2 linked regions of the Daphnia pulex genome follow. The protein of the gene in region 2 interacts with the protein of the main gene of each other region in a pairwise test. Links are inferred from orthologs where the notes say so. Each region holds a gene or a part of one and is shown on either strand. Other genes may lie near its edges.

Evidence for each region.
Region 1: the proteins of rho GTPase-activating protein 26-like (region 2) and epidermal growth factor receptor substrate 15-like 1 interact in a two-hybrid assay, tested with the Caenorhabditis elegans proteins (2 studies listed by BioGRID). The link is inferred for Daphnia pulex from reciprocal best matches to the Caenorhabditis elegans genes T04C9.1 and ehs-1.

Annotation. Positions count from the first base shown.
Region 1 is NC_060021.1:11,549,073-11,560,611, forward strand, and holds the start of epidermal growth factor receptor substrate 15-like 1, read right to left. Parts: upstream 6,760-11,539; 5' UTR 6,665-6,759; intron 6,552-6,664; 5' UTR 6,470-6,551; coding exon 6,443-6,469; intron 6,220-6,442; coding exon 6,175-6,219; intron 6,103-6,174; coding exon 6,013-6,102; intron 5,942-6,012; coding exon 5,798-5,941; intron 5,703-5,797; coding exon 5,511-5,702; intron 5,450-5,510; coding exon 5,339-5,449; intron 5,255-5,338; coding exon 5,090-5,254; intron 5,018-5,089; coding exon 4,842-5,017; intron 4,777-4,841; coding exon 4,386-4,776; intron 4,184-4,385; coding exon 4,121-4,183; intron 3,983-4,120; coding exon 3,778-3,982; intron 3,709-3,777; coding exon 3,506-3,708; intron 3,431-3,505; coding exon 3,239-3,430; intron 3,158-3,238; coding exon 3,086-3,157; intron 3,013-3,085; coding exon 2,701-3,012; intron 2,322-2,700; coding exon of another isoform or gene 2,295-2,321; exon of another isoform or gene 2,242-2,294; coding exon of another isoform or gene 2,236-2,241; exon of another isoform or gene 2,028-2,235; coding exon 1,308-2,027; 3' UTR 1-1,307. Other genes in the region: 27 kDa glycoprotein-like, read left to right, coding at 7,140-7,212, 8,116-8,240, 8,313-8,434, 8,516-8,670, 8,733-8,880, 9,001-9,226.
Region 2 is NC_060023.1:8,075,131-8,086,651, forward strand, and holds the start of rho GTPase-activating protein 26-like, read right to left. Parts: upstream 5,386-11,521; 5' UTR 5,042-5,385; coding exon 4,888-5,041; intron 4,259-4,887; coding exon 4,101-4,258; intron 4,025-4,100; coding exon 3,953-4,024; intron 3,868-3,952; coding exon 3,766-3,867; intron 3,680-3,765; coding exon 3,569-3,679; intron 3,457-3,568; coding exon 3,352-3,456; intron 3,263-3,351; coding exon 3,188-3,262; intron 2,228-3,187; coding exon 2,158-2,227; intron 1,992-2,157; coding exon 1,894-1,991; intron 1,817-1,893; coding exon 1,601-1,816; intron 1,510-1,600; coding exon 1,407-1,509; intron 1,338-1,406; coding exon 1,116-1,337; intron 1,043-1,115; coding exon 937-1,042; intron 864-936; coding exon 704-863; intron 636-703; coding exon 229-635; intron 160-228; coding exon 1-159. Other genes in the region: zinc finger protein 330 homolog, read left to right, coding at 5,589-5,708, 5,767-5,937, 6,007-6,403, 6,478-6,561, 6,633-6,832; synaptotagmin-7-like, read right to left, coding at 8,197-8,297.

The sequences.
Region 1 (11,539 bases), on a different chromosome or scaffold from region 2:
AAGAAATTGGAATGTACACATCGTGTCGGTTTTGCTCTTATACAACTCGTTGATACCCGCCGAATGATACTGGATGCGGCCAAGACTGTATTCATCTAAATGTTTTTTTCTGTTGTTCTTTTTGCCCTTCGTCGCTATGGGAGACGTCCGTGTTGAGTAACCATCTTCAGGTAGGTGAGAGAAACGGTCGAAGAAGGAGGTACACAAGTACATGATGAAAGTTGATAATGTTACTACATCGAGGAGAGAAAAGAGACAGATAGAGAGACATTTTGGTTTTTTTGGATGGGGGGGGGGAGAGAGAGAAAACACGGACTCTTGAGGCAAATTAACAATCGTGTTCACGCAAGGACATTCACAAAAAAAAAAAGAAGAAAAAGAGATAACTAACAAACATACTGGTACATCTCTTAGAGCTACTTTCATTTTTAAAAAATTGACTTGTGGGAAAAAGTAACTCTCGTGTGGCCACTGGGCATCATACCGAAACAATCAAATTACAGAAAAGAAAAAAAAAAGAAAACGGGGAGAAATGGGTAGCAGTGGAGAGGTTGAAATAAAGAAAAAGATCAGGCTACGGCAAAAATAACGTTCCAAGAGCAAAACAACTACGGCATCGAAATAACACTTTTTTATTTCTTCATTCTTCAGACAGATCTGTTTGGTGATGGTGGATGGGACCATATTGTACTATTAAGAGATAAGATGTAAGAACAAAAGAAGAAAAATTTTTTTCCGAGGGACTGACGGGCGAACTATGGCACACTCCTGTTGTCACAACTACCAACACTTTGCACACCGACTACTACTTTCTCGCCTTTCTCCCATTCGTCAGCGATTGGAGCGACACTTTTTTTTTCCTTATTACTATTGTGGGAAGTAAGTCTAAGAAAGGCAACATGCAAGGATACAAAAGTGCGAGTAAAATGTACACAGCAGTCTTGCCCTCCAGTTGCCGTTATAAATAGTTTGGGGATATGACCAATAAGGGGGTGATGGAATAAAGGAGATTGAACACCAAAGGAAATAAATTTTTTCGGCTAACCATTCACTCTCGTACATAGGTCAATGCATTACCTTTTGCGGTCAAAGTATTGCTGGATTCTTTTGGTAATTTTTGAATTTTGTTACATCAGAGGCCAAAGGAAAGCTCATTTGAATATTTAGCCTTTGAAAACAAGGGAAGTACCGTAAACAGGAGCGTGAAAAAACTGTGAAGGTCACGTAGATTACATATAAAGAAGGAAAAACAGGGTGTGGTGGAATAGAAAGGAAGAAGAAAGAGATGTGGCCAGCTTTCAAACGGGTCAAATTAATCTGTCTGAAGACGGTGGTGACCGACTGTTCATTTCAGATTTGCTGAGAGCGATCGCCATTTCCAGATCGGCTATTTCCTGCATCTCCGCTTTCCTTCGCCTTTCCTGCTCCGATCGGACACTCTCAGCAGCCACCCAAGCGATTTGGGCGTCTTCGCTCAACTTGGGCAATGGTTCAGATGCAGACACTTTGCTACTTTTCATCGGTGACGATGAGGAAGACGATCGGCTCTTTAACGAGCTCGAGCCAATCGATGTTGGACTTTTAGTGGGACCACTAGAGGTGGGAGAGGAAAACTTGAAATCGTTGCCCCAACTAGAGGGAGACTTGTTATTGTTGTCAGCAGCTGTGGCAGCAGCGAACGGATCTGGCCGCCCGTTCCATGCCGAACTACCGAACGGACTGTCGAATTCTATCGTGGATTTAGAAGGAGATGTGGAAGAGGCAAACGGATCCTTGTCTGCGGAAAACGGATCAAAACTGTCCGGATCCTTCTTGATCTTTATTCCGTTATTGGTGATGGTGGGAACGGCGAAGGGATCGTCTGTGTTTGAGGCAAACGGATCGCCAAATCCGACATCTTTGAAGGGATCTTCAGTGAATTCTAGCTCGGCATACCGGTGCTGTTGTGACTCGCTGGTGGGTTTTGTGCTGCTAGTGCTGGTGCTTCCCCATGCATCAAAGCTCTCGCCAGTTGAAGAGCCAGAAAACTAAGGCAATTAAACACAAACCAAAGCAGGGAAGGGAAGCAGGGAAAACAGAAAAAAAAAACTTAAAATAAATTACAACAGAAAAATTTCGAAATACAAAACTAAACTAAAATAATATCAGGTAGATGTATAGAAGACAGTAAAAATATTAATTCTAAACGCTCGAAAGGTCAGATTTCAGACCAGTGGAAAATGCCTTAGAGTTGACTCATGGCTGCGTAAAAAAAACAGAAAAAGAAAGAAGAAGGCAAGAAAGTTTAGTTGACTTTACGGATCCGATGGACTGGAATCATTCTGAAATCAAATTCCAAATTGTGATTTTTTTTTACATGTTTATCGAACACGGGAAACGGAAACGAGAACCCAAATGAACCGAGTCAAATCTAAACGAAGACGAAATAAAATAAATCACGACCCAGCAGGCTGCCAATCGCCTAACTAAAAAAAGATTGTTCTAGAACAAGAGAAAACACGTACACATGTCACGTAAAATAAAAATAATGGAGTTTAGCTTTATATATAAAGAAGGAATGGTATAAATGAATCACAGTTGAAACGAAGAAAAATCAACCGTAGTACAAGTTAATCATGCTCTCTGGATTACCAATAAAATAAACTACACATAGAAAATTGCGAAACAAAAAAAAAAACATCAAATCAATCGGAGACGTACCTTAGATTCAAAACTTGCAAAATCAGCAAAACCCGATCCACCAAAAGGATCCTTAGACGCACCAGCCGAAGTAAACGGATCGCTCAATGGTGCAAAAGGATCAGGTGATTTTGTGGCGCCGATGGGAGGAGCCGGGCGCTGGGGACCTTTCACACCACTAGAAACAGCTTTCGGTGGAGCTGGACGTGGAGGTGGTTGTTTCGACTTCTTGGGAGGCAAGGCCGGAGTCGGGCTTTCCACTCGACCGGCAGGTAAGGGAGAATTAGGTGCGTTAAATGGGTCGCTACCGAACGGATCAGCACCCACGTTTGGCTGCAATGACCAAAAATTGATAATCAATTAGCGCTCGAGTTCCGCCGCAATTAGTCTGATTCTAATTACTCACCGATTTGCTACGACCGAAGGCGTCAAATGGTTCGCTTTTTGCTTGACCAAACGCGGAAGCGAATGGATCATTCTGAAAAATTCAAAATGCATTACGCGTTTTACAAACTAGTCAGGATTCAAATACTTTCTAACGATTCATAGAAACACGTACCGTTGGTTTTGCAGGAGCTCCAAAGGCTGAGGCGAATGGGTCTTTGGCGCCAAAAGGATCAACAGACGAAGTTGGCTGCGCCGCCTTTTTGAAAAAGTCCGATTCCTTGAAAGGGTCCCCATTAGATGAGTCAGAAAACCCACGATTCTGACCATTCAGACTAGAAAATGGATCACTACCGAACGCTCCATCCTATAAAAATTTCGAATAAAAAAAAAAAAGATATTATGATCTTTACTGGACAAAACTGAACCAAAGTTCAATTACGTTAAAATGCGACGTTCCCCCGTTCACTTTGTTGCGGTCAGAGTTTGGCGAGAGTAAGATATCGGAATCGGAAGCTACTGAGGCAATAGGGCGAAGAACGTTATCGCCCAATCGAGAGGGATCTCCCGTTTCTAAGGCTTCGTCATAGGCCACCAAGGCCTCGTCAATCTGATGTTGATGTTCCTGCAACACCGTCATGCGAGCTGAAAAACCAAAACCAAAAATTTTATACTTTACTGGACAAAGTATTAAAAGATTTCCGCCAAGTAAACCTTTAATTTGACTAATTTGCAAGTGAGTATCTTGCAGTGTATTCTGGAGCTTGTCGAGTTGGAGGCTGGCCGCTTGCATCTGTTGCTCCATGCGCAGTTCTTCACTGCGTAAATTATTAAGTTCCTGTTTCTTAGCCGCAACTTCTGCCTCCTGTGTTCGAAGCGTGTTCTCTTGCTCCTCTGCTTGGGTCCGGAATGTACGAACCTAAAAGGCAGGTCAATAGTTACTTAGTCATGAGTGAAATTCGATTAGGGAAATGTTTGAAAAATTAGATAATCGGGTACAAGCAGTAAGTGAACCAAGTAACAGAAGAAATTGCCTTGCAAAATCAAGTGTTCTAACCTGCTTTTCATGCTCTTCAATTTGTCGCTCTACTCCTTGTAAATCTTGCTCCAAAGCTGAGCGCTACCGATGACATGCCAAATTAAAAACATAAACCAAAAATAAAACGGAACGTAAACAACTAAGGAAAATTGTGAAAGCCAATGGAAATAATACGTTGGCACACTTCAAACAATCCCAAGTCAGCTATTATGTGAGCATACAAAAAAATAAAAGCAAAAACAAAGAAAGAGGGGTCAAACAAAAAGTGGAATAAGAATAAAACCTGTGCATCTAAGTCGTCCAGTCTTTTTTGTGCTTCCTTCTTTTGAACTTCCAACTGCTTCAAAGTAGCCGACAAAGTGTCGAGTTCGCTCTGGAGATTACGAACTTCACCATTCTTGATTCGGATGTCTGCCTCCTTTTGTGCCACATCTGTTTCCAGTTGACGCTTCTCCCGAATAAGACTCTCAATTTCTTTGGCGATTTGCTCAAGTTCGGCAGAATGAGTCAGCTCCTCAACATTGGTGTCTTTCGCACGGAGAGAAGGCGGCATCATTTCAGGAGTTAGCACAGTTGGTAATTCTCTTCCTTGAACCTTTTGCTGGATAAGCCACATTGAAAGGGCAAATTGCTCGCTATTCAATTTACCTGTCTGCCCAACATCACACAACCCCCTAGATCGTTTCAACAGCAACAATTAATGGGGTTCGTTGAGATTCAAAAGTAATGTGAAGTCTACCATATATGAGCTAAAATCGGTTGCGGTAGACGTGATTGCAAGAAAACGTCTTTGATTTCCAAGCCGGATACGTAACCGTCGCGATCCATATCTGCTTGCAGAAATAAAGCTCCATATTTGGTTTTTTCTGCTTCACTGACAACCCAGGTTACTGCATGGCCATTAGACGCAATATCCTGTATTTAAAAGAGAAAAAACCCTAACCATTAGAATCGATTAACAAGCTATTACAGTATTATTTTCAATACTTTAACGTTTTCCGGAGATGAAACTGCTGGAGGCAGGACGCTTACCGACCCCGCAAGAGACGACCCACGTCGAAGAGTAGACTCTTGCACGGTTGAGAGTAATTCAGATGGTAAACTTACCGGCAATGGGTAATTATCCAAGACTTTGTAAACCAAATGCATTGCCTAAAATAATTTAAACATTACAAAGTTTGAGGCGGAAAGATTAAAGATATGGGTAAAGTAATTCACAATAAATTTTTATCTTACCACAATGAACTCATTCCGGTCTAGCGCTCCGTCATGGTCCATGTCAGATAGGTCCCAAATTTTCCCTAGGCTTTCGAGTGGTAAGGTCGAGTTAACCAACACTTCTTTCACCTTTAAATCATAATATACCACAATTATACACTGAGTGCGGCACATTACCATCATAATAAACCTTGTTTCCAGGTAATTTGCCACCAACAGGACTTAAGGAATCAAAAAGTGCATCATATTTTGCTCTATCTGTGGCAGTGACAACCCAATTAAAAGTTTTGGGCTGATTTCCTGTTGGGGAAGTCAAAGATGAAAAGGATCCCTGTGAAGTAGTAGTCACTGCATTTTGTATAACAGCTGGTGGCTGTTCACCCTGAAAATTAAGTTTTACGTAAAATCACGAATGACACTAGTGTGGGATTGAAAGTAATCTTGCATAACACCCAGAAACCATTAATGAGCATTTACCATTTCTGGTGGCGTGGTTTCTCTTGATATGTTGCTCATACTAATTTCAATTCCATTCTGTGCCAGGGCTACTAGTTTCAATGCAGTAAAAAATCCACTTTGATCAAGATATCCTTTGCCTTGAGGATCAGACAGATCCCAAATCTAGAAGTTAATAATATAAACTTAAAAAAAAAAAAAAAAATCACTAATGTAAACATTTGAAAAAAAAATACCTTTCCTAGCACAGAAGTATGTAATCCAGATTTCTTTAGAAAATTAGCAGCATCAAGTGCACCAATACTTCCAAGGTTTTTGGGATCCACCTATAAACACCAAACCAGCAACGGGGATCAGATTAAAGTTTCTGTGGAGGTAACAAAATAAGTGTTACTTACATGCCGATACCAAGCCTCGAAGATTGCATAATTCTGTCCAGCGACCTGAAACATCAAAGAATATTTTCAAGTTGTTAGATTCTTTGAAAATATATCAATGTGTCAAAAAAGTTGAGCACTGTAAAGACGCATTATTTCACAAAAAAAAACATGGCGTGCGCCGGAAAAATTTTTATAATACGAAAATCTACACTATCTCACAGCTTTTTAAATACCACTTTCACGATTTTCTAAAATACTTAATGAAATAAATAATAATATTTCTTACTAAAGTCGGAGATGGCAATACCGCCATCTTGGTAGACTTTTCTTAGTTCGAAAAAAATCCGCTTGGGAACTGCACTGGCAATTCCTCCCCCCAACCGGCCTTTAGCTATCTGTAAATAAATGAAAAGAAAGAAAAAAAATAAACGTTGTAATTGTAATCATGAATGTAATGCAATACATAGCTACATAAGCGTAGCTTTTCCCTATCCAAAATTCCAAATACCCATAAAATGCTGAGAAACCAAAATAACTTCTAATTAATTAAAAATTGTTTGATTTTATTCTTGCTTGGAACGGGTTAAATTGGATCGCAAACATTTCGTGATCACTTTTTATGAATGGTCCTGTTTGAACCCTTTTACTGAATTCGTTGCTGATTGCGTGAATCGCCGTTCAAAAGATCACGAAGAAAATCGATTGGATTGTGATGTTCAAATACAACAATCGTCCATAGGTGGCTTCCTCCCTGATCAAGTCAAGTGAAAGTGAAAGGCGAAAACAACAAAATAGAATGACAAACCACTATGATTTGGTAGTAGGGCGTCGTTTGCCCGGATAGGAGAGATTGTAGCTCCAAGATTGTTTGTTTAAGACAGTGACAGTAAAAAATTTAAGCTACCTGTATTAGGCCAGTTGTTGTTCAAACTCCAAACACATTGACCCAAAGTATTGTGTACAAAAGTACACACCATTTCGAGATGAATTATTCATTGTTTTTGACCTTCGTTTTGGTAATTGGTCAAGTTAACTGTGTTATACCATCTGTTAAGGGTAAGTGTCAATATTCTTTTGCCTAAGAAACATGATGTAATTTTGTAAGCTTGCTCTTTAGCTCGATAAAATGTTGAGTGTGATTTGTGCACACAATTCTATTAATTACTACCACAACTGAGCATGACTTTGAATTTTTCATGAAATAATTGAATTAGGAGAAAGTTGATCAATGGCAGCCATTTGTGTATTTGAAATTTGGAATCCTGCAAACAAAGGCATGAGCTTCTCTGAATTGATGTTTTAAAAATCAGTCTGTAACTCTTTTGCACTTCTTTTTGTTTTATTACATTACAATGTCCGAAGAATTAATTAAAAAAAAAAGAAATGACAGTATTGCTGAGTACACTTTGTTTGTGTGCTTGTTCATACACAAACATATCCTGTTAGCATTTATAGTTCAAGCTTGTATAGTAGTTAACATTTTGGTTGACATTTAGCTCAAGGAGAGTATGAGTCAGGGAAAAATCCGGAATAGAAATAGATGCTTCCAAGGTTTGCGTGAGACTACCAGAGTGGACGGGTTTGATTTACAGCAGGTGTATAATTACTTAACCTAGTATTGCGTTTCCTTTTTTGGTTATAACGTATACAGGAATACTATTTCCATGCACGATACAAGTCGATGGAAGTATACATAAACTTCTGATTTCATCAACCAAATATTGATGTTGCTACGGAAATAAATCAAAAATCGTTGAACCCTTTTTATAGCTTTCATTTGGATGCACCTCTTTCCTTGAATAAATTTGAGCTCTATACATCATTTCCTAACACACCACATAGAACGACACTTGATAATAGCATAAAGCACTAATAAAACAATTAATTTGTTTTTTCGACCTTGTCGCTAAGACGTTTGCATCTCTTTGGAAATTTTTTAATAATTTGTTCCTTATGCAGATACCCATAACTGGGCTGGTGAATTAGAAAAAGCTCAGCATGATTTCAACCTGGACTCGTACTCAAAGCAGTGGATGGACGAGTGTGAAAGGGTTAATGGGAGCGAAGCCATCGAAGATATTCGTGTTAGTCTATCTCACTATTCTTGCATTCAGATAAATAACAAAATAATTGAATAATATTATATTTAACAACAGGAATCAGTGACGGTATTGACCGATTGTATATCTTCAAAAATCAATATTCACAACATAACTGAGGAGATTAAAGAGGCGTCTCCCAAGGGAATCCTTGATGAGGTTTTTGCAAAATATTGCGAGTGAGTTATAATTTTCTTTTTCTAAAAGAAAACTAACTGCCATGTGAAGTTCACGTGTGATAAAAATATTTTATTTTACAGTCAAATCTCAGCGATAAAAAAATGTAGAGAACCAGTTATATTGGCTATGCAAGTTTGTCTTTCAGATCAAGCCGATCGGGATCTTGAAATCTTCGATGAAGCCATTAGTGCAGCTGTAGATTTCATGTGCTATAAAGGAGGGGAGCGGATAGCAAGTATTGTTTTCCGGTGAAATTTAAAATATGGATAGAGTAATAACCGCATATTTTATTTACAGTTTTTATGTCTGAAAACGGAACTGACTGCTTTTTGTCAAATATTGACCACATCGCGACGTGTCTCAATGGAAGTCTTCCTGAATTAGAAAATGCAATAAAGAGTATACAAACAACCAACACCTCAATGTTTGACGACACTAACTGCGGGTAATTATAAAAAGAAAAGACAAAAAGAAAAGCTGTTTGGACTAATGTGCTATCGGTTTTCGTCTAGTAAGTTATCTTATCTAAATAGTCACTGATATCTATTTACTTAACGACTGACAGGTTGGAAACCAAAATGAAGGCATGTGTAATCAACGGTTTGAAAACGTGTTCCGACCCGACACCAGCCAACGTTGTTGAAGGCTTAATAGATTCAATGATCAAGAAAACTCCTTGTTACAAAAGCGAAGCAAATTATTTGAACACTTCGCATTCCTACCATTCTTCCGCATTGCTTTGGGCGTTGGCAACGCTGTCGATGGTTACTCGATTCATGTTCCACTCCTAAGTATTGTGTAATATAGAAATAGTCCCATTTTGAAAATAAACTTTGTGTACAATTAAAGCCCCACATCTCACGAAACCCTTTACCGCCCTTTACAAATAGAAAATGGAGTCGAATGTCCGTCCTCTCGTGACAGGTGTGCTAAACCTTCGTGATCGCTGTTGGGTCGTATATATGGGATATATCATGTTGTTTGGGCGTAACCCCATATGTAGTTTTTTTTTTTAAATTTACTTTCTTTTTGCATTATCTCGAGTAATACAATGCGTTACGTTTAATAGACACAAAAAGCGCACTTTTATTAGTAGCGTGTAAAAGGAAATGGAAAAAACGAACACTTTCGTGTAGTCAGATATCGCTAACATCGCATTATTTTCTAGTCACATGTCGAAAGTTCTTGTGATGCTGCTTTCTTTGTTTCTTCGTAATTTTATTGTGTTTTTCGAATAAATTCAACGACATTTTTAAAAATATAAGTTTCTTTAATGATTCTAGTGCCTGCATAGTTCATTTTTATTCTCATATTGAATCTACTGATATTCTTAATCTACTTTCGGTTTCTAAATTCCTTAATATTAATAAGTGTATAAATATTTGTGTGACGACGAAAAGAACCCAACATTATATTTTCCGTCCGACTCTAGGGCGTCTAGGCCTCCGTGGTGCGTGGATGCTAAGGGCTGTCACTAGGTGGCTAAATATTTCAGTGTGTTTAGGGATTGAATTATTCAGCCCTGTATTGGTAGGGAGGGGGGGGGGTCATCAAATTCTAGACGACATTGTCGACATTCCATTTCATATTTCTTTTTCTTCAAGACGCCGTCCGAGGAGGTTACCTTAGCCATTGGCTTATGGCGGGGCACTTTCTCTTTCTTTCCTCACATTTTTCAATGGTAATTCCTTTTTAATTTTCATTAAGGTTACTGAATTTAAATTGTGTGTGTTCCGTGTAATTAATTTACGGGTTACATGTTTAAAACTTTGTTTCTGATGGTAATTGAGTTTAAATTTTTCTATTTACAGTCTGGTGTCAGTGGTGTGAGCTTCTTCATTGCATTACGTGCACGTGGTCGCTGCCTCGTCATGAAGAGAGTCTACTATTTTGCAAGACAAATAAGATGAAAAGAGGAAATTTGAAAAGGTAATTAAGTATTTGTAAGCTAAATCGAGAAGGCAATCAAGTACCATTTTAGCATTTTGTTCTTGATGTCGGAAGACAAGTGACATCCTATTTCGGTTTTCCATGCAACAAAAAACTTAACAGAAGCGGTTTCTGTGAAAAGTTTTTTGTAAGTTAGTAATTAAACACAACTACAGGGTTAGAATTTTGCTTGAATTTAAGTCTACATAAGTGTGCTACATATGCTTGTTCTTTGATTAGAATTAACCTGGGTAGTACATAAAACTCTTGATTTATATTGTCGAGTACTTTATGCTTCTAAATGAGAGCTTTTTGTGAAAAAATCTTGATCAGCTTGTGTTGTGGGTTAGCATTTTGCATAAATTTAAGTCTACTCATTTGTGCCACATGTGTTTGCCTATAATTAACTAAGGTTGTACATTGAACTCTTGATATAGATTTGACAAGTACTTTCTGCTTCTAAATAAGATCTTATGAAAAAAAAGTCAGTTTTTGAAGAGATGAGAAATTTTTATCAAGTAGAACTTTCCCTTGTTTTTCTTTTAATATTTGAAAATATCATTGGTTTATTAATTTCTTTTTGTAAGGTAGATTTCCTTGTTCAGTTTATGAACTGTTAATGGTGTTGTCTGGTGTTCAGTTTAGAGATGCCTTGAGATGGATGATCAACTGCTGCTGAGCCTTATCATCGTCTTTTTGGACGTGGAGAATGGAGACGCTGTCCCGAGTACGTTAAGCTTGGCCATTGCAGGCAACCTTCTCTCTTGACATGGTAATAATTCCTGCCTTTATTCCTTAAGGTTATTAAATTTAAATATTTTGTGTAGTGAACTCACAGGGAAATGGTTTGTAACTTAAACTTGAATGGTTATTTGCTAATGGTAATTTTTCTTTAATAATCCAATGGTTTAATTTCTAATGATTCTTTAATGGTTATTTCTCCGGTTCTGAGGTCTGCTGTTCATTTTCTCCAAAATGTCGTCTCGGTTTATGTTGCACGTTTCGGCACATTTAGTACTTTAGAATAGTAAAAGCAATAATTTTCATTAACTTTGAAATCTGATGGCTTTGTTTCTAAATTAGAATTCTATTACTTTATTTCTGAAACTAAGTTTTTATTTTTTTATCAACAGTCTGGTGGAGTTTAAAAGCTTCTTAGTTCTTTATTGCGTTAC
Region 2 (11,521 bases):
ACGGTTGAACCAGGCGCCGAGTCACTTGAACTAAGACTGGTGTTGCTGTGAGGTCGCTCTGGGGCTGAAGTGGCGGAACTCAAAGGAGGAATGACTCCTAATGGACGACCAGTAGGCCCACTAGATAATGCTCCAGCCGATCCCGGCCGTAAATTTGACCTGATAAACACACGATTTATAATTGTTTAGTCACACTTGCCTAAAAAGACAAAGGAAATCAAAATTTACCTTGATGATGTTGCAGCTCCATGCGATTGCGCTTGAACCGAAAGCGGCAATTTGTTACCAGACCATAATTCAGCCGTGGTGGGACTTGATGGATACGCTACACGTTGCTGAGGTTGTGACGGATTGCGAACTCCTGTGTTACCTACTGAGGCCATTTGACGAGAAGGACCGTCAACATAAGGAGATGAAGGCGGTGGACTGAGATGAGCTTGAGCAATAGGGGGAATTAGACTGTAGCTGGCAACAGGTTGACGATGAATCAAGGACGGGGGAGTTGGCCCTCCACCTCCACCACCAGTGTAAACCTGGGGTGGAGGCTGATACGCCGGTGGTGACGGTGGACGCATATTGACAGTTGCTGGATTTTTTATTGGTAATTCTGACGGATCCGGTTTCGTCTTGAAAATCTACATTTTAAAAAATAATATTGGTTTGAGGTCCATGCAAGATTAATATGATTCGATAGGGTTCATACCTTTTCAGAATTTTCGATCATAATCTCAACCACGACGTTGCAAAACTTTATATCCATAATTGCTGCCATAGTCTCTTCTTCCGGACGGAGCAGTGTTGGTCCAAAACACACGCCAAGATTGGAAACGGTCATCAAATTCTTGTCTGATTTTGCAGCGACACTATTATACGAGTAAAGGAATGCAAACCAATGTTAACTCAATATTAGTACACTTAAATATGAAATTCACACACTTTTTGAGATGAGTAATCATGATGTCCAGCATCTTAAAGTGATTTTCAGGCAGTCGATGAACTAAGGCATGCACATCTGCTGTTCGATGAAGACGTGATTCCTGTTCTATAAAACGGGAAAACGGAAACGTGGGAATAAGTCCCCGGTCAAGTCAAATGTTAAGATATCAGTCTCTTACTTGCAGCCGCAATAAAGGCAGTATGATAACGGAATGACATGAGCGGCTCGGGTAACTGACGCAAGTAAGTTTTAATGGCGCTAGTGATAGTCTTGTTTTCCCATTCTAATCGATCTTCCAAATTGAGTTTTTCTACTTTTCGTCGATCAAGCCCCATCGATAGTAACTTGCTGACTTTGGACGAAACGCCGACCAGTCGATACAGCCCTTGATCTTCCAAACCTACGATATAATAACAGTCATTTTTAGCATTTCTGTAAGGATAGGAAAATGAGGTTAGTGAACGCTTACCTCGATTTTCAATTTCTTTGATGCAAGTGCGAATGAATAGGAAACCAACTTCATCCAGTGTGGTTTCTTCGTGTTTGGACGATTTCCCAGGTTGAGCATAAGTCTGAAAAAATTAAATCGCCATTAAATGATTATAGCGAATGCAACAGCATAAAACATTATGGTAGTTGTTAATAGAAGGAATTGTTATTTACGGTAGGAAACGGGTTTCTGGCTGTGGGTTGGTGTGTTACCGGCTCTTTTCCATCCATTGCATCAAGCCACAACCGACGATCATCCTCTGATAGCGCCTGCAGTGTAATCACCATCACTAGACGATCTTTTGGAGTAATGTCGAAGCAGAATCTCTTTTCAATGGATTCTGACATGCGGCGTGTGCAAGACTTAATCTCCATCGTATCCGTTGTGGTCTTGTTGAAATGAGAAAAATCCAAAACGGAATTATTACATGGCCAATGACCGTGAAGGATAGAAAACAAAAACCTACAATCTTTCCAATCGTTTGTGTGTACGGTATCATGGTGAAAATGCGGTTTTCCTTAGTGTACTGGCAATAATGTTTCGACCAAGTGGTCCCAAATGCCTCTGCAGAGAAGAAAAAAAAAACCCACGATTAAAAACAGTCACACAAAATTATGTTTTTCGATAAAATCTATTATTTCATGTCCGCATTATTTAACTAACTAGCCCGTCAAAAATGCTTGAAGAAAAGTACATTAAAATAAGGAACTTGGCTCGGTGACCCACTTACTTTTCTCCATGACGTAGAGATAGCCTTGTCGTGTGTACATTTTGTTCAAACTGCCTGGGTCGCACGGCTTCTACAGATGCGGGTGTCAAAAATTAGAAAGTCAGTCGCGTCTCAGCAAATAGAAAGAACGTCCACACCAGTTCAAACATATAGGCACTCACAAAAACCCACCACCATCTCTAGAGCAGTAACAAAAGCCGCCCACTTTACACCGAGAAATTCTTTACCAAACAACCGAAGCTGGCAAATGACGAAAGCCCTCCAAAACAAATTAATCTTCTAGTTCACATCGCAACGAAAAAGGTCAAGAAACTGCGACAAAAGCAACAAAATACGCCTTGCACATATCGATGAGAAAACCAGGCAACTGCAAAGAGGCTTCTATCGCTTAATCAATCATGATTCAGAACTGGCCTAGACTACGAGTCTACTTTACGTAAATAATGGGAGAACGTAATGTGAATACTGAATAGCCATTAATCTTTTTTACACGTCTCATGACGTGACCAATTTAATATCCTGTTTGCTTTTCTGAAAAGAATAAATAAAAGAAGCAGTTTTAGAAATAACGACGAACAAGCTACTTCTTGAAGATACCATTCGAAGTTTCAAAACGGACATTGTTTACAGTGTTCAACGAATATTCAACAAGAAACAAATCCCTAGAACAATTCGAATAACGCCACGCGCACGAAAAATCCAATGGTAAAATTCTGGGACTGAGTGCACATAGCAATTTTAATCATATGCGTAGCTGTGGTCAGGAGGGGGAGGAAAGGAAATGTAAAAAACACCCATCTCCGACAGTTGGTTGATCACTTTGTCATAGGATAGGATTATTAAGTTCTAGATGGCAGTGCTCCATCATCATCATCAAAGGGTTATTACGCATTTTCCTGACCATTCGTCTCAATCTGAGTTGCCAACTGTCTGCCGACATCCTTGTAGTGAAGCGTTGGAGCTAAAATTAAATTTCATAACGCCAGAGCATGCACACAATACACACAAAAGCTGAGCAAGAAGCTATTACCGTCTTACGCACCTCCAGCATCTTGCGCATCAACGATTCTGCCTCCTCTCGTGTTGTGTTGAAGTTCTCCCGGGTCTAAAATCACCCAAAAAGAATAAAGAGTCGTTTACACGTTAAACCTGTTTGCTGTTTCTTGTTTTGCTCCACTTGAATCGTACTCTTACCTTTTGAAGGCGCACTTGCAAGTCAGTCATATAAGGTCGGAATTCCTTCGACACTTCGTATCCCTGATGATAGAAAGTTAGCCAGCCATACATGAAGCCTAGCAACTGTTTTAAATAAAAACGAAACAAGATTTTCGACAAATTATTAATAGTCTTATTTTTATAAGAAAGCTTTGTAGATGAATTAAAAAAATTTTAAAAACAAGAAAAGGTTTACCGTTTCGACGAACTCAAACTTTTTTCGTTCGTGAACTTCTTGCAGACGGTAGACGTACTCGAGGCTGGCCTGGCAAAAGTGGCGCTGCTCCATCTCCAAAATCGCATCCGCCTAACCAGATCAGATATCAACACCTCTTAAACTCTCGCCAGGAACACGTAATAATAGATGCAAAGAAGGGAGAACAAATAAGAGACCTCCTGTAAGACGGAATCCTGTTTCTTAGTCGATAGATTCAAGTGGCGCTCTTGACTCTGAACGAACTTGGCCGTCTGCTTCTCAAATTTCTTCTTTTCCTCCTGCCGAATTGAACGGGAAAAGAAAGAAAAAAATGAAATTCAATTAATCGTCACGTACAGCACACTTCATTTTCTCTTGCACCACCTTGGCACCGCCGATGTGTTCTTTCCGAAAGTTCTCCAGTGGTCCGATAAATTGATCCTTAGCTCGCTCCAACTAACGATGAGGAAAATAAGTAGTTTTTATTCGAAAACGTAAGCAGAATGCCGGAAGAAAGGCGATGAGGCATTACCATCCGATCCCGTTCATCTTCAATGGCGTTGATGAGTCGACCGAATTCTTTGAGCGACCCGGCAATGACGATCTCATCATCCGTTTGGCTGTTGCCAATACACTCGAACTGGAAGCTCATCAGACTTGTGGCGAGACTGCGCTGCGCCCGAGACAAGGCTGTTATCGTGCGATTAAGAAAGGAAAAATGGAGTTAAAAGCCAGATCATTTATAACTCTACTGTTAAAACCAATATTTGGATCGCCACATTTTATTTTTTTCCCGAAAAATCTACACCTGCAATAGCTTCACGTCCGGCCGTGCGTGGCTGACCGCATCAGTTGCGTTAGAAATACCCCCGACTAAGGCGTTTTGTGGTCAGGACTCACCGTTACGGGTCCCGAACGGACAGACGGTAACGAGAATAACGACAGGAAATTTCGGAAATAGCCCCAAGGAATCAAACAACCTGTGGTGTTGTCTCATATCAGCCCAATTCTTGAAAAACCCTACCCTGTCTCATGTAGGTACATTATTAGCCATATTTACAGAAGCTTTCACAAAACAAAAAGGAGAAAGTTGCATATCGAGTTTCAGTACACGTTTCACAAGAACCCAATCTCTGGTCAATGTCTTCCAATACCACAGATGTGCCTGGATCTACACGAAAAATGAATGGGACTGATAACTTATCCATGACTAATCTATACAGCCAGCTGCAAGGGGGTTGAAATTGATAAAACGGTAGAGTTGAGTTGAACAAAAGATCTGAGAATTGATAATACAGGAAAGAGAGGGTTGGTCTTACCTCTGGCAGCATTGACGAGGTCTTTAACTTCCTTAATTAGCACTTTAATAGCAAGACTGGTTTTCTCCAACTCTTTTTCGTGGCCTTGGAGATTTTCTCTGAAGTATGGGCTGTCTGTTAGGCACTCAGTGAACTCCAAAGGAAGAAGCCCCATTATGAGGCTAGTTGGATTTCAAAGATTGAAAGCCACAAAAATAATAAGCACTGACCAAGTTGATGACAATAACAAAAAAATTTGAAGGGACACCTGTTGCCCCAGTTAGCAACGGATCTCTCTAAACATCGTCAGGAACTCGGCGTTAATAATAGTCGTTTCCACTAAATCACCTCCAAAAGAGAATTTGCCAAAGTTGTTGATCTCGAAAAAACGAATTACTTGAATGCTAAGCTTTGTGAGCAAAATGAAATGCACATCACTGACTGTTGGAGGGGCGAAAGATGTGTTTGGCAGATGAAAACACGACTGTCTGTCGGGTGGGGCTACGCGGCGCGATCCCAACCTCTTTTCCCTCTCTCTCTGACCGCCACCAACTCGACTAGTTTTGCAGGATCCCTAAACACACCTGTCATTTTTCGTCTGCTTCCAAGTCAACAATATACTGGCAAGTGGAGTTTACTTATTTGGCGAGATCCCTTCCACTAGACATTTTCAAACAAATTCCATTTTTTGTGAATTGTATTAGCTCCTACTTTTGAACAAAATGCCAAAGAAAAAGACGGGTCAAAGAAAGAAGGCTGAAAAGCAGAAATTACGCCAGAAAGAGATCCGTTCTGGCAAAGAAATGAAACCGTTAGCTGACTGGGCATGCAACTCGAATATGGTGCGATTCATTTTTCAATTGAACACGGTTTCTTAATATCTTTTTATGTTGAGAGTAGGAATGCGATAGATGTCAACGAAAGCAGAAACTTCGCGCTTTCTGTTACTTTTGCCAGTCACTTCAACGACTTCCAATGTGTGGTCACTGCGCCAAAGTGAAATGCATGTTGAAAACTGGGGACTGTGTTATCAAGCACGGAAGTGTTTTTACGACTGGATTGGCAATGGTGGTAAGTTCGTTTAAAGCTGATGTTTTATTTCCAACAATCAACACGAGTTTTTTCTCCACATTTACAAAGGGGGCCATTTGTGATCACTGTGAGGCTTGGATCTGCCATGGTAAGAAATGCCTGAGCGTACATGGATGTTTGTGCCCCCTACAAGATGCTGTTTGTGCTGAATGCGACCGAAATGTGTGGGGTCACGGTGGAAGGATCTTTCAGTGCTCGTTCTGCTCCAATCACCTCTGTGAAGATGATCAGTTTGAGCATCAAGCTTCTTGCCAAATTCTGGAAGCCGAAACGTACAAGTGTCAGTCGTGTAATCGACACGGCCAGTACTCTTGCCTCAAATGTAAGATCTGCTACTGCGAGGATCACGTCAGACGTAAAGGTTTCAAGTACGAACGTGGCCAGCCGGTGCCCTGTCCGAAATGCGGCTTCGAGACGAACGAGACCAAAGATATGAGCATGTCAAGTAATATCATCTTTCTATCGATTCTCAAAATTTCGCGAGTCATTTGGCCGATACATTTCACATTTTTCTCGCAGCTCGGACCCACAAATATGGCAGGCAGAAACCTGCTGGAGACTACGGCGACGACGATGAAGAAGGAGATGATTACGGAGATGCAGGTAATCAATCCCACTCTGGGCTTCAATTAAAAATATCACCACATTCACAAAAAATTTTTTTTTTTTTTTAGATTATTCTGGTGGCGCTACCGGTGGTGGATCTTATTCCTACACTTACGATGACGATGATGATGACGACGACGACGACGACGATGACGACTCGTCAGATGAAGAGGATAGCGACGACTCTGGTGAAGAGGAGGAAGAAGAGGTGAAAGAAGCCGATGCTGGGAAAAAGCCCTTAGAAGTGAAAACTAAAGAAACTAAATAGATTTGGAACATACCATTCGTTAGGTCAAATAAACCATGGACGATTGATGTTGAATTTTATTTCGCCTTTCTCAGTCTCATCGATTTACATGGTATAATTTGTGTGTAGTTAGCTCTTCATCTCTTTTTTTTTCTTTTTAGGGGGAGGTTTCGGGTATGAAAGGTTATGGTTGGGTTTCTCTATACATTGAACAAGGTATACAAACACGGAGGATGGTTTTGGACACCCTGGGATAGTTCAGACACGACAGACACAGGAAAGCGTAAGATAAGATCATGGACTAAGGGCAACAAGGGCGCGGAGGGGATTTTCGCGTGGTAGAATCTACTTCACGACAGAACTTTCCAACGAGCAATAATAATATTTCACGTAAAAATCAGAAAAATTCAACAATCCAAGTGAAACCAAAGGGGAACCAAAACAAAAAGAGAGAGAGAGGCTCAACTCTCAAGGGGGGTCTAAAGAGACGAGGAACAGGGACTGGGTAGCATTTTCTTTAAATAATTTGATGTTTAATTTTTCTTTTCTTATTTAAAAAAAAAAAGGAAAAAATTTCTCCACAATCAATTAGGATAAAAGACGAAAATCAAATCTACAGTACCGCGTTGGCAACGAGTCACACACACACACACTAAATAAATTTTTTGTCATAGTGCATGTATGAGATGATTTGATAAATATACTTTGTCATTATTATGTCTTCTTTTGTCGACACATTTTTTAAAATGTTTTTGTCATATCAGCAAAACACAAATTCTCTTTCTTCCCCTTTTTTGTCAAATCAGATCATCATCGTTTCTTTTTCTTTTTTCCTTTTTTGTGTTTATGGGTATTAGTGAAGGGATCTCTTCAGCTCTACTTCCGGATTTAAAAAAAAAGACGACCATACAAAACATTGCAAATGATGTCAATTCCCCTCCCCCCGCCCTTTTATGTCGTAAGTTCCGTGAATGAAACTTGCTTCAATCAAAAAAGCTCAAGTCCAAGTTAACAAAACCGTGCGACCACATCAGAACAAAATGCGCAATCTCTTCTTTTTTTTCAAATATTCGTTTTTTGTTTGTTTTTTTTTGTTTCCTTGGGTCTTTTCAGTCTTGCGGATCGTGAACGAAGCCATTTCGATCAACAAAATAGATCGTAAGACTCTTTTGATGAGGTCGTTGAAGTAAAAAAAATAATACCAAAAAAAGGAGGAGGGGAAGTAAAGAGTGTACAGGGGTCATGGATTTTGTGTGTGTTTCCTTCTCTCTTTCTCTTCTTCTTCGATCCTTTTTTCTCTCCTAGCTTGTATATAGCAGATTCTCCGTCTTCCGTCATTTGGCTCTGTGGATGTCCTAGCTCCTTAGTTCTTCCGCTCCGTCGCATCACTCGGGTTTCAAGCGATGCCATTGGACGACAGCCTGACGTGGCTTGGTGATCATGTCCTGCCAATGTTTGGTCTCCGAGGCTCCCGTGCTGTTCTTACCTACACAAACGTGAAACAAAATTAAAAGAAAATGGGCGGAATGGATGTAAATCAAGTGACATTAATCCACACGATGAGCATGACCTTTGCCCAGTTGGGAGTTTAGTCGTAACAGCAACTACACAGAACAACAAGAGACGGACTGGACTGGGAATCACGGAGGAACACGGCAACTGTGCAAGCAGTCATTAGCGGATCAATTGCCAAGTGCGTGACGAAACGGTTGAGAGAGATGCTCGGGCTGGAAAGACACTCGCAGTTCAACTCTCTCCCGGAAAGCACGGTTCCATTACCCATCCAGGAGTGGACGAGAGGTCACAAAAGGGTGGGGGGAGTAGTAGGAGAGAGAGGAAGTAGCAGCTGGGCCCAACCCGTGATCGATTTCTCTAAGCCTTGAGAGATGAAGTTGATTGATTCACGGCCAAGCGAGCACGTACGTTTCTATCCCCCGTTGCCCGTCCCGAAACATACCTATAGACACACACGGCGCGGGTCGATCGATTCCCCCCCTGACGTTTTGATCCTTATTTTTTTTACAATGTGTGTAGTACACGTGAAATAAAATAAAAAAAGCTTTTCACTTTTTTCCTTTTTTCGAGATCAAATAAAAAGGAGGGAAAAAAACATTACGGGATTCTCCAGGTGCCTATAGCAGATCCGACCTTTTTTGCCCGAGCGAGAGTGTTGAATTGATCCTGTTCCGCCAGGATCGATTCGCCTGATGAGGAGAAGGCAGCAGCAGCAGATGAAAAGATGAAGACAAACAGATTGAAATAGAAAGCAGCTTTCATAGAAGAAGAAAAACGGGTCAAAACAGATAAGGAGCTCAAAAAAGAAAGAAATAAATCAGATCGGATTCGATGTGATGATTCATCAACTTGGTTTGCTCTCTCTCTCTCTCCTTTTATTCTCCGGCCATGTATAGGTTATTAAGGGGGGAAAATCCGACGGAAGAAAATAGACAAAGGAAACTTTTTTTTTTCCAGCTCTCACTCTTATCCGCTTCATTAATTCGCTACACATTTGAAAACGATGACGTCGCACAGCCGGTAGAGACGGCATCAATGCGCATGGACACACGAAAATGTCTATCTCTTCACTTTTTTTAGATGGAAAACCGGACTGTTTTCCAGCACGCACAGAGAGAGAAAGACAGGCTCTCGTCGGCCACAATCTGTGGAATTCCTTCAACTCTACGAGAGAGGTCCAAAGGACGCATTCCACTCGAGGAATCTGTTCCAATATATATCAGCTGTTGATTGGAAAATGCCTTGTGTACACATCAGACGGTTCCCCAGAAACAATTCAACCCACATTTAGCCTTTTGGGAGGGGAACACAACCTAGTCATTGGACCATTGGTAAAAATCAAGAGAAATCGTGGCTTTCCTCTCAGGTGACGGGATATTGGAAAGTCCAGTTTCTATCCCTGGACATTTTCTCCTGATTTTATTTCATCTCCTTAATCAAAAGTGCTCCTACAAGTTGAAAAACTTGTTTTTTAGTCGCATTACATAATCAGTCAATATCAAAACGACATTTCCCAGTAAGTGAACAAATTTCTTTCAGGTTCTTTTTTTTATCTTTCCAGAATTCCGTGAATTCAGTTCATCCGGTTTTATATCATTTCGCTCCGCTCGCCCTCGGGGGCACTGGGAGTCGGGAATCGAATTTTGTTTACGATAATGAGGTGTCCAATGTTTCGTCGACCTTATAGACGCGGGAGTTGACGTGACTCCTTAATAATAAAAAAAAAGAGGATCGTTTAAGTTGGAGTCGACGGCGAGGAAGCTGGAAGCTGCGCTCAGCCATTCAATTAGAACTGTGCCAAGCTATTTGAAAATTGAAATTCTTTCGAATCTCAAAAGACCCGCCCGTCTTCTTCTTTTGATGTGAGTCATAACATTATTTGAACGTTCTAACCTCCCAGCCGACAAAATGCGTACCGCAACCAAGGCACGTTCGCTGCCTATCTGGCGTCCATTAGACCCTCCGCTTGATTGGATGATGGATAACGATTTGCCATTGCAACTTTTCATCCGCCAAGAGGGAGAAAAGACGTACGGTACAAACGGTTCGTTGGCATAATATAAGGCCGCGAATCAAAGAAAAAAGACGCGGGCCAATTCAAAGTCGACACTGCGCAAGTCCTTGCGAATCTTCCAACGGTCAAAACTTCCAACGGAACTCGAAAAAAGTTAAAGGGGGAACCGGAAGGAAGTCAGGAACAAAGTGGGCAGGAGCCGGCCCTATAGTCTATTGACTCTATTCAAAAGAGACTTTTTTTCCCGTCCTCCTAATGGATGCCACATACGACCAAGACTGTGTGTACATATAAAAGACCATCCCATTTCTTTAGAACTTTTTCTTTTCTTTGATGGCGATGAAAATGGCTAAATGGACGGGGGGCATTCAAAAACAGTTGGGAGCATTTCCTTCTCTATCGTGATGGGTTCCTGGCCGGGCAACGCTCAAAGTGGTCGGCAGAGACGGACCATCAGCCGTCCAATCAAGTGTGTGTGGGCTGTTGCTTCACGCAGCGAATCGGCGCTGGCTCGGGAGTTCAGCTCCTTTTTATATATCGCTCTCCTCAAGCCTCCGGCCGCTGCTATGGTTTTCCATTCTTATATCATCCGCAATCTACCGTAGACGGGCAACAACCAGGTCGCCCATTCTGACGCAAATGAAGTTAACTCATTCGAGTCGAGTGATATGGAGGGAAAAAACTCATGGCAATCAACTTGAGCCGCTCCCGCAGGAAAAAAGAAGATGAAGATGACGGTCGTCACGGGGGTCTGCCAACTTAACGAAGCGTGAGCCGATGGCAAGAGAAACTGTCGGCTGGATAGCTGGGCGGCGGTGGTGGCAGCACCGTCTGATGAGATTACGTGTGCGGGCGGCGGCCCGACTGGACCGTCTTCGACATTCGCTCTACTCCGTCCGTCCACCGAGTCTTTATCACCCGATTCCATCCGTCATTGTCTTGGCGCACGGAAGCCGGCCCGGCGGATGGGGGGATACACGCAGAGCTGGAAAGCAGTTCCTCAATGAAGAAAAAAAAGAAGATCGATGGATGGAAAATAATAAAAATAAAAATAATTCCTGGGAAAATACAAATCAGGAATATCAACCGACTCGTGACAGGATCGACTCCAGCCCGTGACATCTTTTTAGTAGCCCCCCATCATCTGCGTATATTTATGACGTTTCATGTCGCTGAACTTT